Linked DNA regions of Callithrix jacchus. The protein of the gene in region 1 interacts with the protein of each later gene in a pairwise test. Links are inferred from orthologs where the notes say so. Each region holds a gene or a part of one and is shown in the gene's direction. Other genes may lie near its edges.

Region 1 (7,984 bases):
TTATCTTCTAGCCAGGGGGTCCTCCTACTCCCCCAAACCCATATTGTATCCAACCTCATGGCCTACTTTTACTCATTTCCTTAGTAGGAATTTCTGTCTAAAGCCCAAAGGCCACAGACATTGTTGCCCTCACATGAGAAACAGCTCTTGGCCTGTTGAGCTCCACATATAGTCAAAGCATTTGATTTGAAAATAGATGCTATAATCAGATTATTACAAGGAAATTATATGGTTGGGAGACAAGGGCTTTCATCCTTGGCAGCCCTGACTTTCCCATTGGAATATTCTTCTTAGATCTAATCTCTAGCCCTTACTCAAAACGATAAAATGTAGGAAAACTTAGAAGTCACCTAGAAGAAAACCAGAGATCACTAATGCCAGCCCATTTAAAAATTAGATGTGCAGGCCCCACCCCAACATCATCTGTATTTTTGAAAAGCCCCTCGAATGATTATCTTGAGCAGTTAGGGTTGGAAATCCCTGACGTAAGCCAATGACTCACTTTACAGATTAGAAAGTTGAGTGTCAAGTTATATAATCTAACACTTATTAATTATCAAACAATTTTTTGCCTTTTGCAGCTGGTTTGCTGGTAACATCTCCAGATCACAATCTGAACAGTTACTCAGACAAAAGGTAAATAGTCTTGTCTTGAAAACAGCCTCACAGAATCTCTTTGTATTTTGGGGCCCAGAGATTGATGCATTTTTCATAGAAACCTTGCTGTTAATTATATAGTCAAGCCATCGTAGTGCGGCTTATCTGGTCTGTGGGTTGCCAGACCCTTTATGTCTAGCCACTACTTCTGTGTCCATTATCTATTGCTGCATAATAAATCACTCCTAAATTTAGTGGCTTGAAACAGCGGGATTTATGATTTCTCATGATTCTGTGAGTCAGCTGGGCCAACAGTGCTTAGGCACGTTTTGCTTACGGGCACTCCTGTGGCTGCATTTGGCTGGCAGATTGACTGGGGGCTTGGGTTTAGCTGAGGCAGTCAACTGGAGTTCCACAGTTCTTCCCCAAGCAGCCTCTCCATGTGCCTTCCTTGGACCTCCTCACAGCATGGTGATTGATCTCAAGGCGGTGGTTGAAAAGGACGAGCCCCATGCAAGCACTTACCTAGTCTTTGCTTTTGTTGTGTTTGCTAAAGTCCCATTGGTCATAGCAAGTCACATGGCTCAGCCTAGAGTCAGTACAGGAGGGGACTGCTCAGGGCATGAATAAGAGAGATGATTTATCGGAGACCGCCAATGTAGCCATTAACTTCAGCTCTGTCACTGCTCATTGGCACCTAGACCAGAGTACAGCAGCTGTGACACAGAATATGTTTATCTGATTTTATTATGAATTGGTATGGGATACCAATAGCAAACTCTTTTGATCTCTAAAAATGACACTTTGATATAGTTTAACCTGATAAAAACACTAAACACTAAACTATTTCTTTGAGGGGTGCTAGTGAGAATGTAATGACTTCATTTGGTGTTTTGTCACATTCATAGTTTATAATCTGCTCTTTCTGAACGTTGATCTGCTTAGAATTAGCACAAGTCATTGAGAAAGACAACTTGAGTATAGAACTTTAAAAATAATTTATTCTGGATCTTTCGTTTTCTAAAACCTTCCAAGGGCATGATATGGTGATACATGATTCTAAATTTTGTTTCCTAAAGTTGAACACATTAGGCTTACATAAGCAAAACACCCAGAAAAGTATGTGCTAGGCTTAAACATTAACTGGAAGAGTTCATATACACTGGGCAGATCTATAAAGAGATTGAATGAGAAACCTGTGCCCTTTGTGACATATAAAGTCGATCTAAAAGATTTATTTTCCAACCGCCTACGATACAAAATCATTTTCAAGAATATTGAAAATATTTTCTGTTTCTTCTTAATTTTTCTTCCTTTTCAGGGAAAAGAAGGAGCATTTATGGTTAGAAATTCCAGCCAAGCAGGAATGTACACAGTGTCCTTATTTAGTAAGGCTGTGAAGTAAGTATGATAAGGATTTACGTCTTTTATCTTTCTGTGTATATTTTTTGAATATGCTGTTTATAATCACATTTTGAGATAAGACATAATCTTTAAACTCCGGAGTTTTAGATCAAAGTATTTCTGTTGAGTGTGAACATTTGTAGTTGCCTCCACCACCCTCACCCCACTGCGCCAGCACCCTTGCCCCACTACTTTCAAGAGGCCATTCTCTGGCTAACGCTCTCTTGCCCAACCCAGGCAGTAACAGAATGCCCAGAGCACAGCACGCCTCAGTAAATGTTTATTAAACGACGTCTGGGTGATTCCCTTTCATTCAGGTCTAAGCCTAGAAAGAAAGAAAATAGCAATGGAACCTCTATACTCTCAGCCCTAGCCACCTGCTGAGCAGAGAAGCCTACTCCGGTGTCTAGTTCTTAGTACTTCCACTGCCTGCAGAGTTAGCAGAAGGTTGACTCAGTGCAGCTGTGTTCTCTACACAGCTTCCTTCCGGGACTCTGTCCTCTTTGTGGTGTTAAAAGTTCTTGTTTGAAGCCAAACTTCTAAATCCAAATCCTGGCTCTACTATTTCAGGGTTTTGTGACATTGAGCAAATTTCTTAACCTCTGTGCTTCAACTTGTCATTTGAAAAGGGAACATAATGATTTTTATGTTCCATGAGTGAAGTGAGTTAATTCATATATTATATCCAGAACAGTGCCTGACACATAGTAAGCACTTAATAAACTAACAGTAATTACTATTATTTTTGTTGCTGCTGGGGAAGAGTAGTTCTCCCTGCTCCACTCCCTGTACCCTAACACTTGGGCATAAAAGACACCCCACAGTCACCTCATGCAAATCATCATGAGAATCCTCCTCCAGAGTTCTACAAGCCACTTTCTTATTGATAGTTAGCTCTTTTTTTCCTTTTAATCATCCTCCAAAGCAAATAGAAAATCTGTTTTTATTTACACCATATTGCAGATGAGAGGACTGAGGTTCAAAAAGAGCTTATAAAGACCTATTTGGAGCTAATAAATGACTAATTTGAAGCTGGGTTTCCAATAGCCAAGTCATGTTCCTTCATCTACACCTCTGTGTTTGCACTGAACCTCCAGTGTTTTGGAGTGAGAATCTGGTCAAATATCGATTAAGATCTTTTAAAAATTTCTATGTGTAGAACCCTTTTTTAGCAGCTAAATCAAATGATCATCTGCCTTGGTGCCTTCCTCGTGTGCCCTACCCCACAGTGCATATATGTAGATTTATAATAATTAAGTAATAGAAATGTTACTTTCTATTTTGGAATTTTTTACGGAGTGCCTACCTACACTTCAGATAACAGGACGTACTTTGAATTGTCCAACAGCACTTTCTAATGCCAGAATCCATGTCCCCAGTGTATCTCATATATTAGTTTGCGCCTGATAACACCTGGATGCTGGCTAAAGCCAACCTAGTAAGAATCAGGAGAAGAGTTTGTTTACTGAGTATCAAAAGCTTTGTGGCCCTCTGGCCCTGCAGTTTCAGACAAACCTCGTATCAGATGTCCTCCTAGTCGAGTTTCTTGACTCCAGATTCATTTTTTACAGTAGTCAGATAGATAAATCAGCAAATAGGTAAAAAATGAAATGATTACAAAAGCCCTCTTTTATGAAACCTTATCAATGGCCTTCGGTGAATTGTATGCTGACACCAAAGGCTGATTAAACATTTGCAGCAAAGAGAAGAACCTTTCTCCTTTTATACTTGCAATTTTTACTTGGTTGATGTTACAACAACAATTTTTAAATTTTTTTAGCTTTTAAGTTTATGGGTACATGTGCAGGTTTGTTATATAGGTAAATTCGTGTCATGGGGTTTCTTATAGAGACTATTTCATCACCTGGGTACTAAGCCTGGTATCCAATAGTCATTTTTCCTGCTCCTCTTCTTCCTCCCACCCTCCACCCTCAAGTAGGCCTCAGTGTCTACTGTTTTCCACTATGTGTCCATGTGTTCTCATCATTTAGCTCCCACATACAAGTAGGAACATGTGCCATTTGGTTTTCTGTTCCTGTGTTAGTTTGCTATACAGCAACAGTTTATTAACTGTTTCTTATATGCCAAGCATAACCACATAGGGTAGCTAGCAAGTGATAAAACTGAACTCAAAGCCTGACTCTTGATCACTATGTCATTGGCTGCAATCTAAGACAGGTGTACTATTCCTGATTAGCTTAAATCAACGTGCATCAATTCGCCATTATTTTATAAAAACAGAGGAAAAGAAGAGATTGTTTTTATGTGGAGAAGGTACAAGTTCACATGAGGAATTAAAAGACATCCCCACCTACTTCATCCTGCATGCTTCACTACCAAAAGAGCCTCCCTCCCATGTTTTGGGGTGAGAATACCCAACAGCCTAATTACCTTTACCTCCCTCATTTCCACCTCCATTATTATCCTATTAGAGAATTTCTGTTCAGAATAATGATCCTGAAGAACTACAAGCCTCTCGATCATCAAAGAAAGATTCCAATTTTATACACTTACTAAGGGAGGAGAAGCCCGGAAAGGTGGAATTTTACTGTACGTGAATTTTTAATTTTTTTAGCTTTTATGTTCATGGGTATACGTGCACAAAAAGATACATTGAGTTCAGAGAACTGTCTTCCATAATTACTGTTACGGTTACACCAGGTGTCAACACTGAGAAAAACACCAGGTATCAAGACTGAGAAACCCTCACTAACTTCCCTCGCCAAAATTTGCAAATACATCTAAAAGAATTATTTAACCCTTGCTTAATCAAGCTTCAATTTTTTATTTAAAATGTTCTAACATTTTTTCTGTTATTAGTGATAAAAAAGGAACTGTCAAACATTACCATGTGCATACAAATGCTGAGAACAAATTATACCTGGCAGAAAACTACTGTTTTGATTCCATTCCAAAGCTTATTCATTATCATCAACACAATTCAGCAGGTAATTTATTTTAATTTTTCTTTTATGGGCGTTTGTTGATAAATACCAATTTTCTTGGATACTACTGATCCTCCTGATATTCTTAATTATATAAGGAACCATGAAAGTAGGGAAAATGCTCTCAAGTCCTTTGCCTATCATAATTTTTAACTTACATTTTCAGGAATATAACATGATGCCCTCCTTAATGCCAGAAAGAATGAAATTAAGTAAACTGGGTGACTTGGAAAGAGAAAATCTCTTTATAAAAATATTTGTAGGGTTTTTCTGTGTATAAAAGCAAGAGGATTATAAATTTAAAATATTATGGAAATATAGATATCATTGGATATATGAAACAATTGTCTATTATGACAGGGTTTTTTGCATGCTGATACTAGAACTTACCAATTATTACATATATAAATAGAAATTATGTATTATGTATATATATATATTACATTTTTACAGAGATGAGATCATTCTACATATATTGTTCAGCTTGCTTTCTTTACTCAACATGTCTTAGAGGTCTTTTCATGCAAATACAAAGAGCTTACTTAGGTCTATTTAATAGGTGCATAGAATTCTTTTTTTTTTTTTTTTTTTTTTTGAGACGGAGTTTCGCTCTTGTTACCCAGGCTGGAGTGCAATGGCGCAATCTCGGCTCACCGCAACCTCCGCCTCCTGGGTTCAGGCAATTCTCCTGCCTCAGCCTCCCGAGTAGCTGGGATTACAGGCACGCACCACCATGCACAGCTAATTTTTTGTATTTTTAGTAGAGACGGGGTTTCACCATGTTGACCAGGATGGTCTCGATCTCTTGACCTCGTGATCCACCCGCCTCGGCCTCCCAAAGTGCTGGGATTACAGGCTTGAGCCACCGCGCCCAGCCCAGGTGCATAGAATTCTATCACATAGTTACCCCATGATTTATTCACCTAGCCCTCTATTGATTAGCAGTTGGATCATGTTTCTGTGCACAATTCTGCATGCATAGCTCTGTCCAACCATATGACTGATTCTATAGCCGAATCCCTAGAAGTGGAATTTCTGAGACAAAGGCTAAGAATACTTAAAAGGTACAGATTGCCAAATGCTTTTCAGAAATGTACAATTCCAGTAACAACAATTTCTCTCATCCTCATCAACATTGGGTGCTATTAGTCTTCTAAATTTTTGCCTAATCAACTGGTGGAAATACATCTAGAAATACCCTCTGTTTTCTAGAATAGTGCCACTTAAGAGCAGTGACTGAATTTCTAACAGTGATTAAAAATAAGCCATAAGCTCAGCATTTAATTTGTGCTACTTTATATGACTTGATTGCATGCATATAGGTGAATTGGCCTCACTTCTGGCTCTCATTTTGGTTCTTACTGTTGTGTTTCTTTTGCCCCAATTTCCTCAATTGTTTGTTTTAACCTTTAGTATCTCAGTAGTACCTTTTGGAAAAGGTATTGTACAAAGAGACCTCTCTAAGTGGAATGATTCCACTGCAGAGGATGCACAGGATATCTGAAGAAAATATTAAGACTTCTATTTACATTTGGATTTTTGCCTCATTCTCTTACATTTTCTGTTTGTGAGTGTATTTTTATAATCCACACCAAATATATATTTTATAGAAATGTACTAGTCTTTACATTTTAATTGATTAATTAATTTAGCTGATTAAAGGTGAAGGATTTTTATCAGAGAAACAAAAAAAAAAGATAAAAGTGAAGGATTTTAAAAATTTGGAGACTACTCATATAAAAATCAGACAAATATATAGAAAAAGGAAGGAGGGGAAAAGTAAATGTATGATAGGTCCCCTGACTTGGAGAGCATTTCACATTTAAAGCAAAAAACATATTAACATATGTTTTTAATGGGTTATTTCAAGCCACTATTAAATTTTATAATTATTTTAACCCAGTTTTACCATAACTCAATATAAACAATTAAAATGACCATTTATTGAAACTTAGTAATAGGCTCAGTTTTTAAAAATTCATATGGCTTATTATTTTTTATCCCCTGTATTGCTTGAATTTTTTGTCAAATGTATGTGCTATGTGTATACATATTTAAGTATTGGATTGTAAAGAGATAGCAAAAAAGTAAGGGGTGGATTTTAAAAGATTTCATCAAGCAACTAATTTCTATGGGATTTTTAAAAATCACATACAGTATTTTATTCATTTAACTTTTTCTTTGCATTGAGCTAATTAGTCAAGTTAAGCAAATTAAGACAACCACAGCATGAATGGATTCTCTCTCTGCATCTCAACATTCTTAACTCTGCCTTTTCAGCTACTTTGGAGAGAGACTAGTTGTGAGCCAATGTTTATGATGTAATGTGATGGGATATGATGTAATGATGTGATGATATGATGCTGATTCCATTGCAGGCATGATCACACGGCTCCGCCACCCTGTGTCAACAAAGGCCAACAAGGTCCCTGACTCTGTGTCCCTGGGAAGTGGTATGGATACATTCTTGGGCTCTTAAACTTGATTTTCCATAATTTTTTGTTGAAATATATGGTTAATTTACTTGGGAAAAAAAAGGAGGAAAGACAGGAAGGAGGTCTCTGTTCAGATTGTATCAGGAAGGATTTCCTTTAAAAAAAATTCTCTCAACCTAAATCTGTAAGCTTCTAGCACCACCAAAAAGATCATCAATTTGTTTTCTCTTATTAGACCCCATCATTAGCTTCCAGACCCCATTGTCTGTCCTTCCTTTTTCCTGGATTTTGCACCCACTCGGCAGAGCCAGTATTTAACCTTGTATATTAGGATGATCACATCCACACAGATCACAGTTTAATTTGTTTTATTTTTTAAAAAATCTAACAATGTTTCACCAACCTAAGTACATCGAGTACATTTTGGTGCTGAGCCTTTCCAAGATGCCTCTGGTTGGCAAATTGTTTTTACTCTGAGCTTTCTTGTCAAATAACTGTAGCTACTTCAAGAACAGTGTTGTCCTGGTCCCATTATCACGTGACCACAAGACCGCATCATTAAGGGTTTTTTTTAATTTATCAACTTAAAATAAAAAGTCTTGT
Region 2 (8,084 bases), on another chromosome or scaffold:
CTTTTTACATTTTAACTTATTTATTTTAGTAAGAATTAACTTCCAGTATAAATGTATAAATATGCCACCTTCTAGATAACAAGGGGGGTGGTAAAGATACATATATGTAGTTGTTTGTATCTCTGCAGAACATCTCTATAAGGCTGCAGAGGAATGATGGAACACTGGTTACCCACCCCCAGGGAGAAGAGCTGGGTATCTAGCAGGCAGAGTGAGAAGAGGACTTTTTACTTACACCCTTGTGTATCTTTGGGGGTGGAACCATACAAATTATCTCACTTCCTTAGATATGAAACACAAGCTAATAATAATTTTATGTCTAATACTTTGAAGGCGTTATTCAAGTGCCTTGCCATGAATGTTCCTGCCAAATTAACATGGTTGAGGGAGAATAGGGCTTAGGTACTTGGTTAGTAAATGACATCTGTGGACTTGAGGGAGGAAGTTCAACTCAGTTGTCTAACATCTCTTGGGTTTTACGGTCATTTTCTATTTAAAAAATTCTTTTATTTTCTTCCTGATTCAATTAACAAGTTTTTATTTAGTGCCTATTCTTTGCCCAGTACTGTCCTGGAAATTCTAGGAGATATAAAAGAAGCCTTCATGAAATAACTTTTAGTTCTTGCCAAGTGTGGAGATCACTGTGGAATGATATGTGGCTAGAAAGTCATCCTGGAAGCAGAGTCTTACTTGGAGAGAAGCAGCAAGGCTTAGACAAATGGAAGGAGGACCGGGCCGGGCACGGTGGCTCACGCCTATAACCCCAGCACTTTGGGAGGCTGAGACGGGTGGATCACGAGGTCAAAAGATCGAGACCATCCTGGTCAACAAGATGAAACCCTGTCTCTACTAAAAAAAAATATATATATATATAAATTAGCTGGGCATGGTGGCGTGTGCCTGTACTCCCAGCTACTCAGGAGGCTGAGGCAGGAGAATTGCCTGAACCCAGGAGGCAGAGGTTGTGGTGAGCCGAGATCGCGCCATTGCACTCCAGCCTGGGTAACAAGAGCGAAACTCCGTCTCAAAAAAAAAAAAAAAAAAAAGGAAGGAGGACCGGAGGGGCTGCTGGTGAGGGACAAAGCTTGATAGGGGCAGAAAGCCATATGAGTGGTCAGAGAGACCGGTTTGGAAAGTCCCTAAAGGTCAGGCTGAAGAAGTTAACCTTGGGAGTCCCTTAGGAGTGATAACTCAAGAGAGGGAAGCCTGGTATTAGCAAGGACATAAGAGAGAACTGAGAAACGAGATGCTAGGAGACCACCCTTGTTGCAATAATTGGATGTAAAATTATGACGGTTTGGATTTAGAATGTTCCAGAGGGAAGAGAAAGGAAAGAAATAATTCATGAGGCATTTCAAAGGAGGAAATACTAGGTTTTGATGACAGGCTGGAGATGAGAATGGGAGAAGTCACACATGATTCCAATTTTCCTAGCTTGGGAAGCCAGCAAAGTGACTTCTTTTCAGATCTTTCTTTCCTCACACACAAACTGACCCCCTCATAGAGTTCAGTTGAAATATCAATTACAAACAGAATTGATCTGTTTTTTCCCTTAGAAACACAATCTTATTTGCCTTTAGGTAAATGACCCAAGATGAACGTTGCTGGGCTTTGCTCTTGGGTATAACTCATACCTCTATGACAGTGCTCCTCACTTTGGCCTTGCACTGTGTGTGTGGTGTGCAGGTGCCTTTGTCACCCACTAGACCAAAAGTCCTTGTTGTGCAGGGACCACGTGTCATTCATAGATAAGTATTTAAAAGTTTTTTTTGGCTCATGACTGTAACCCCAGCACTTTGGGAGGCTGAGGCAAGTGGATGTCCTGAGGTCAGGAGATTGAGACCAGCTTGGCCAACATGGTGAAACCCTGTCTCTACTAAAAACAACAATTAGCCAGGTGTGGTGGCAGACACCTGTAGTCCCATCTACTTGGGAGGCTGACACAGTAGAATCGCTTGAACCCAAGAGGTGGAGGTTGCAGTGAGCGGAGATCACACCACTGCATTGTAGCCTGGGCGACAGAGGAGACTCTCAAAAAAAAAAAAGAGTTTTCGTTAATTGTTGAAGAAAATGAGATTTAAATGAAACATAATACTTAAACAAACTTTCCAGAAACAACAGCATTAAAACAAAATCATTGAAATTAAAATTTACATAAATTAAAAGGCTCTCTGTTCCACATGCCAAAAAAAGATCTTATACTCTATTGTAATAGTGTTAGGGTCACACAGCTTTATTCCTTAGCTTAGCTGTTGCAATACAATAATAATGCAGTGCAAAAATACTGTGTAATAAACGTCAATTAAATGAAACACTTCATATATACTTTACACAAGTTATTGGATATTGCTTAGTATTTCTTTTTCCCCCCTCTGCGGTGCAAAGATATTGTTTAATATTATCCCCATTTTCTAGTAGAGGAAACAGTTACAGAGAAGTTAAGAAATTTGCACAAGGTCACCTAGCTAGTAACTGTTGGAGCTGGGATTTGAACCCAAACAACGTAGTCGACTCTCCACCCTTAAGAGCTCTGCTCCCTATTATGTAAGCAGACAGCTCTCTTTTGGGGACTGACAGGTTATTTGAGGTATATGAACCATTTTTGGTGGTGGTGGTGCTGGGGGCTTTCCCACACAATACTGGAAGTGTCTAGTTATATGGGGCATAACCTTAGGAGCAAGCAGGAAAAGAAATGTATTCCAATAGTCTTCAGAAACATACCATAGTAAACGAATAACCATTAATAATAGCATTTTACAGCCTACCTAATAACACAAGAATAAACCCCTTTAACTGGAACCTAAACAATACCCCCTCCTCTCATTTTATTAAAAGCCTTGTTTTATTTGGAAACTCTTAAAATAAGTGGTCATACGATTAAAAAAAGCTGCGGCGCGCCCCCTCCCCGGCGGCCGGGCGCAGCTGTCCGCGCCTCCCCCGCGCGGCTGCCAGCATTCCAACTCTCTGAGGTCACGGGCCGCCGCCGCCGCCTCCCTGGGTCCGCCCGCCCGACCTAGGGGGAGGGACGCCCGGCCCGGCCGCCCGCTGCTCCGGCCGCGCGTCCCGCGTCGGTCCGACCGTCCGTCAGTCCGTCCTACTGCCTCCCCCCGCCCCCGCAGGGCTTCTTTGTGCGGCACTACTCGCCTGCAGGTCCACCCCCAGGCCTCGCCCCTCGCCATCGCCACCGCCGGACTCTGCCCAGGGGAATGGTCTGCGGGCCGGGTTTTTGGAGACAGGAAGTGAGGCGTGCGAGCCCCATGAGCGCGGCGCGGCGCGGGCTAGCGTGCGGGCGCGGCTGCGGCGGCAGAGCTGCGGGGCCCCGGGAGGCGGGCCGCTGAGCGGTGCGCGCGGCCCCGAGGATGCGGGAGCGCGAGCAGGTGAGGGCGCTGGGCTTGGCCGGCGGGAGGGGCGGGCACCGGCTGGAGCGGTGGGGTGTGTCCGCTCGCCGGGACCCCGGAACGCGCCCGCGGCCCCGGAGTCCCGGAGGATGGGGCGCGGCTGCCAGACTCACAGCGGGAGCGTTAACAAAGACAAAAGTTTTCCTTTTCCAGATTCGCTCTCATGTACTTGAGTAATTTCTAAAAGGGGTCTGGAACTTCTATTCTGAACGCCCTGGCCGATTGTTGCGGGTTAATTCTGGATCGGGGTTTTAAATGGGTTAGGCATATTTGTGCCTCTCAGAATATGTAAACGTGAAATTCGCCAGATAACTTTGGCGAGAAGGGGCGCAAGGAAGGGCTGTTTGGTAATGCCTGGTTCGTTTTTGGAGTAGTGTTTATTCTGGAAGAGAATTCTTGGATCTGCAAATTCCGACTGGTGATTTCTGCAAATCCTGATTAGATTGGCCGCTCTTGGCATGTTCGTCCTATTTTCTTTTTTGCTGAGAAAGCCTTACAATAATAGAGTATGCTCGCAAACACATTGAAAACATTCGTGTGCTCCAAGTGACAACTGCTATACGCCTCTTAGTTGCTGACAGTTTATTTTTTTAAGTTTGGAATACCAGAGTAATTTTACTCTGAATATAGCTGTCCGTTTTGTTTCTAGGGCATTTTATTCTGGAGCATCTACGCACAAATGTTTTCTCCTTGGGAAGCATGGGTTTGATTTAATGCTATAGATATTACCCTAAATATGTCACATACTCTCTCTTTTTAGTGTTCATTTTGTTTTAAAGCAACCTTGGCAAAATTACGTAAGGACCTTAGGAAAGGGGAAACGCTGTAAGATTCAGAGGTAAAGTGTATTTGAGAAACTTTTGGAAGGGGATGTAGAGAGGAAAAATTAAAATGAATTCACAAATAGTTGAGACTGCCTTTTGTAAACTTGTACTGAAGCAGAATCTAGTATGTATCCGTTTATTTACTACAAAACAGATTTTGTAGAGAAACAAAGTTATCCTAGTTTTCCTTTATTAGCTATTTATGAATTATGTTTAATTTAGTAAATTATAATTCCAGACCCAACCATTTCCAGATTATTGCATATTATTTTATACCTAAAACAGACCTCCCCAAAGAACTCTTAAATTTCTACTCCTCTTGGTTTTATTACCTTCAGACATTCATAACTGTATTATATCATTTGGCAGCAAATACTGAATATTACTGAAAATTAAGATGTGTAAATCATTGATTAGTTTGTAAATTATTAAACAAAAACACTGTTTTAGCATAGTGGGTCTTATATAAATAAGCAAAAAGCAAGGCATTCTTATGGATAGATTTTGTGTGGGGGGGTGCACCATACACACACACACACACACACACACACACGCAGCAACTTTTTCAATTTCATCAATCAAAATAAGAGATAACTTTGACTTTTTCTTTATCCCTGATGCTGTAATGCATTTCAAATCTAAGGGACAATGGAAAGTTTTACTGAGTTTGCTTAAGCAGAACTTAAGTTAATAATTAAGTTACAGTGTAGTATCTATCGCTTTCAAGGCATAGTTCCATGTAGTGAAAAGACTACCATATTTGAATGGCACCTAATACAAATATTGATCTTTTCTCTACACATATGCTATATCTTATCTTTTTGTCTACACTACTAAATCCGTTCAGTTTCCAGTTACCATAATTTTTATATAAAATTGAAACCCACCATCTGATCCCATGAAATGGTGTTTAGAATGCATGATATTTATAATCCTTAACTATTTACACTCTTGGTTTATCAGTTTTCTAGGTAAAAGCTTATTATTTAAGGTTCTCATTTGCTAATTGCTTTTCATCTTGCTTTACTTAGTTTATACCCCTGAAATAGCAAAGAGCATTGAAAGGTACTGGAAGTGGAAACCGTGTCTTTTAATATTTATTTTCTGTTTCCCTCCATAGTGTGGTGGTTTTACCTGCAGAAAGCAGTCAGCAAATGCTGTTAATTAACACAGTGCTTTAGCTATTTCCAGCTTTGCTTTTTTCCTCTGGCCTTCCCCTATCCCTTGTTTTTAACATTTTGATTTTCCTGGCTATGGGGAATAACCAGAGTTCAAAACAAAAAAACTAGCCAGATAAAACCGTGGTTGGGTCCTTATTAGAGATACAGCTCTGTATGTAATTATAGCATGGTTGTAATCTCCTTAAAGACAGCGACGGCTTAGGATTCGTCTTAGATTTCTCACGATGCTCATTATGCTGTCTTGTACCCAGAGAGGCAATACACATTTGTGGAATGGAATTTCAAACTGTTAAGTTTGGCAAAGCCGAGGGTAGTAGCCGAACTCTTTTCTCCAGCTCTGCCATTCCCTAACCCTGACTGCCCATCGCCTCTAGGCCTGAGACACAGTCAGGAGAGCAGGACCCAGCAGAGGACTGGGAGTGTGGAATTTGGGATCGATTCACAGCCCAGCCCGTCCTAGCGTGAAACTGCGAAGTAGCTTCTCTTTCTGAAGGTTGGGTTCTGCGTGCCAGATGAAAGGGTCGGGGGCACATTCTGCCCCCCTGCGCGGTCCCGGGCCCGAGCTCAGCGTAGCCAGCCATAGCTGGTTCTCGCTAAGCGATTCATCCCCAGCAGGCAACCTCTGCTCAGAAGGAAGTGGGGCGTCCCGGGACCCTGGAAATATCCGGGATTTTGTAGACTTGTTTAGGGGGAAAAAACTAATTCAGCTGATGTAAAAATCCCCAGCTGTTATAAGCTTTATCAGTGAAATGGGAAAAAAAAAAAAAAAATCCCCAGCTGGTGCTCGCCCTCATTTGTCTCGGCCCAGAAGTTACAATGAATTGGTCTGGTTAAAAACTCAACAGAGCCCTGCGTGGTGGCGCGCGCCTGTGGTCCCAGCTAGTCGGGAGGCTGAGGCTGGAGGATCGCTTGAGCCTAGGTGTTCGGGGCTGCGGTGAGCTGCGATGGCGCCACTGCACTCCAGCCTGGGTGGCAGAGCGAGACCGCGCTCTACGAAACACGTTTTAAGTAGCGTATTTCGGGGTGCTGTGGCTCCAAAGCCGGCATCGCGCGGGGCCCGCCCACTCTCTCCACCGCCTGTAGGTCTCGCGCTGGTCCCTTTAAATGGTCCCTCCGGGAGCCGAGGGACCGGTCCCTTTCAGAGCGCGTCCGTCCAGGAACGCGGCTGCAGAAAGAGAGTTCCGGGGCCTCCTAGGCTACTGGTTGGCCTGGCAACGCCGCGTGCTCTTCCCGAGGGAAGGACGCGGGAGAAGCCGGGGCCTGAGGTCTCCAGGGCCCCGTGGGCTTCTTGGGTTTGCTGCCCCCCGGCCGCTCATCAACTCAGGATGGCTTGGAAGGCCTCGCCCGTCTCCTTTTCTGGGCCGCGGCCCCCCTTAGGTGAAGGCTTGTTTGGGCGTCCCCATCTTGGAGAGGGGCGGGGCCTCGCCTTTCAGAACTGCCACTCTTCTAGTGGTAATTGGATAAGGAGCATTTGTAGGGTCTTTTATGAAGTTTATCAGTAAATCAATTTGATGGCGTAAATACTTCCACAAGCGCTTGTTAGACAGCTCACCGTGTTTGAACCACACACCTGCCATTCTTAGTGGGGATTATTCCTCCCATTCGCCTTCAGAGTTAATTTTCTAAAGCGATTGGGACTGGAACCTAGTTCTTTTTCGGGTATTTTGCACTTTTCTCATTGAAGGATTAAAGAACTCTGACATTTGGAGTATTACAGCCCCAAAGAGTTACTTACGAAAAAACATCCAAAATAGGAGGAGGACTACCAATGCTAACTAGTAAATTTGGGATTACAGTAGTGCTGGCCATTATCTCATTTAAGCCTGATGATAGCCACAGTTTGCTATCACTATTTGTAGGCAAAAGTGAAGGGTGGAGCCTGACCCTGGTCCCAACGCACCTCTGAGATAAAAGTCCACCCTGCCTCCCGGGTCCTATTAGTGCCTTCTTTTTCCAGCGGAGAGGGACGGCTTACTCTTTGGACACAGCTTGATTGGCTTTTCTTTGTAATAAGCAGAGTCTAGCGTTACCTTTAAGTAACTCTTGGCGTTCCTCTTTCCCCAGCGCTGGCGTCGATGCTCCCTTCTTGGGGCCATTGGAGACTCCGTTGCGGCTGCTGGGTGAGCAGCTGGAGGCTGGACAGCGTTTGTCCCGTCTGGAAAGGATCGCTTTGGTGGGAGTAGTTTTTCCCTCTTTGCTCCTCCACTCTTGAAAGGAGAAGAAGATGCCACTGCCATTCGGGTTGAAACTGAAACGCACCCGGCGCTACACGGTGTCCAGCAAGAGCTGCCTGGTTGCTCGGATCCAGCTGCTCAATAACGAGTTTGTGGAGTTCACCCTATCGGTGGAGAGCACTGGCCAGGAGAGCCTCGAAGCTGTGGCCCAGAGGCTGGAGCTGCGGGAGGTAAGCCACCTAAAGACACTGCAGGCCAGGCGCAGTGGCTCACGCCTCTAATCCCAGCACTTTGGAAGGCCGAGTCGGGTGGATCCTGGAGGTCAGGAGTTGGAGACCAGCCTGGCCAACATGGTGAAACCTCATCTCTACTAAAAATACAAAAACTTAGCTGGGTGTGGTGGCATGCACCTGTAATCCCAACTACTCGGGCCGCTGAGGAAGGAGAATCACTTGAACCGAGGAGGGGGAGGTTGCAGTGAGCTGAAATGTCCAGCCTGGACAAGAG

Evidence for each region.
Region 2: the proteins of BMX (region 1) and PTPN21 interact in binary tests that used the Homo sapiens proteins (3 or more experiments, as listed by UniProt). The link is inferred for Callithrix jacchus from reciprocal best matches to the Homo sapiens genes BMX and PTPN21.

What each region holds. Positions count from the first base shown.
Region 1 is NC_133524.1:15,845,989-15,853,972, forward strand, and holds part of BMX (cytoplasmic tyrosine-protein kinase BMX), read left to right. Parts: intron 1-581; coding exon 582-636; intron 637-1,918; coding exon 1,919-1,998; intron 1,999-4,821; coding exon 4,822-4,949; intron 4,950-7,324; coding exon 7,325-7,399; intron 7,400-7,984. UniProt on the Homo sapiens protein: Non-receptor tyrosine kinase that plays central but diverse modulatory roles in various signaling processes involved in the regulation of actin reorganization, cell migration, cell proliferation and survival, cell adhesion, and apoptosis.
Region 2 is NC_133509.1:123,397,103-123,405,186, reverse strand, and holds the start of PTPN21 (tyrosine-protein phosphatase non-receptor type 21), read left to right. Parts: upstream 1-3,015; 5' UTR 3,016-3,377; intron 3,378-6,577; exon of another isoform or gene 6,578-6,780; intron 6,781-7,467; 5' UTR 7,468-7,627; coding exon 7,628-7,807; intron 7,808-8,084.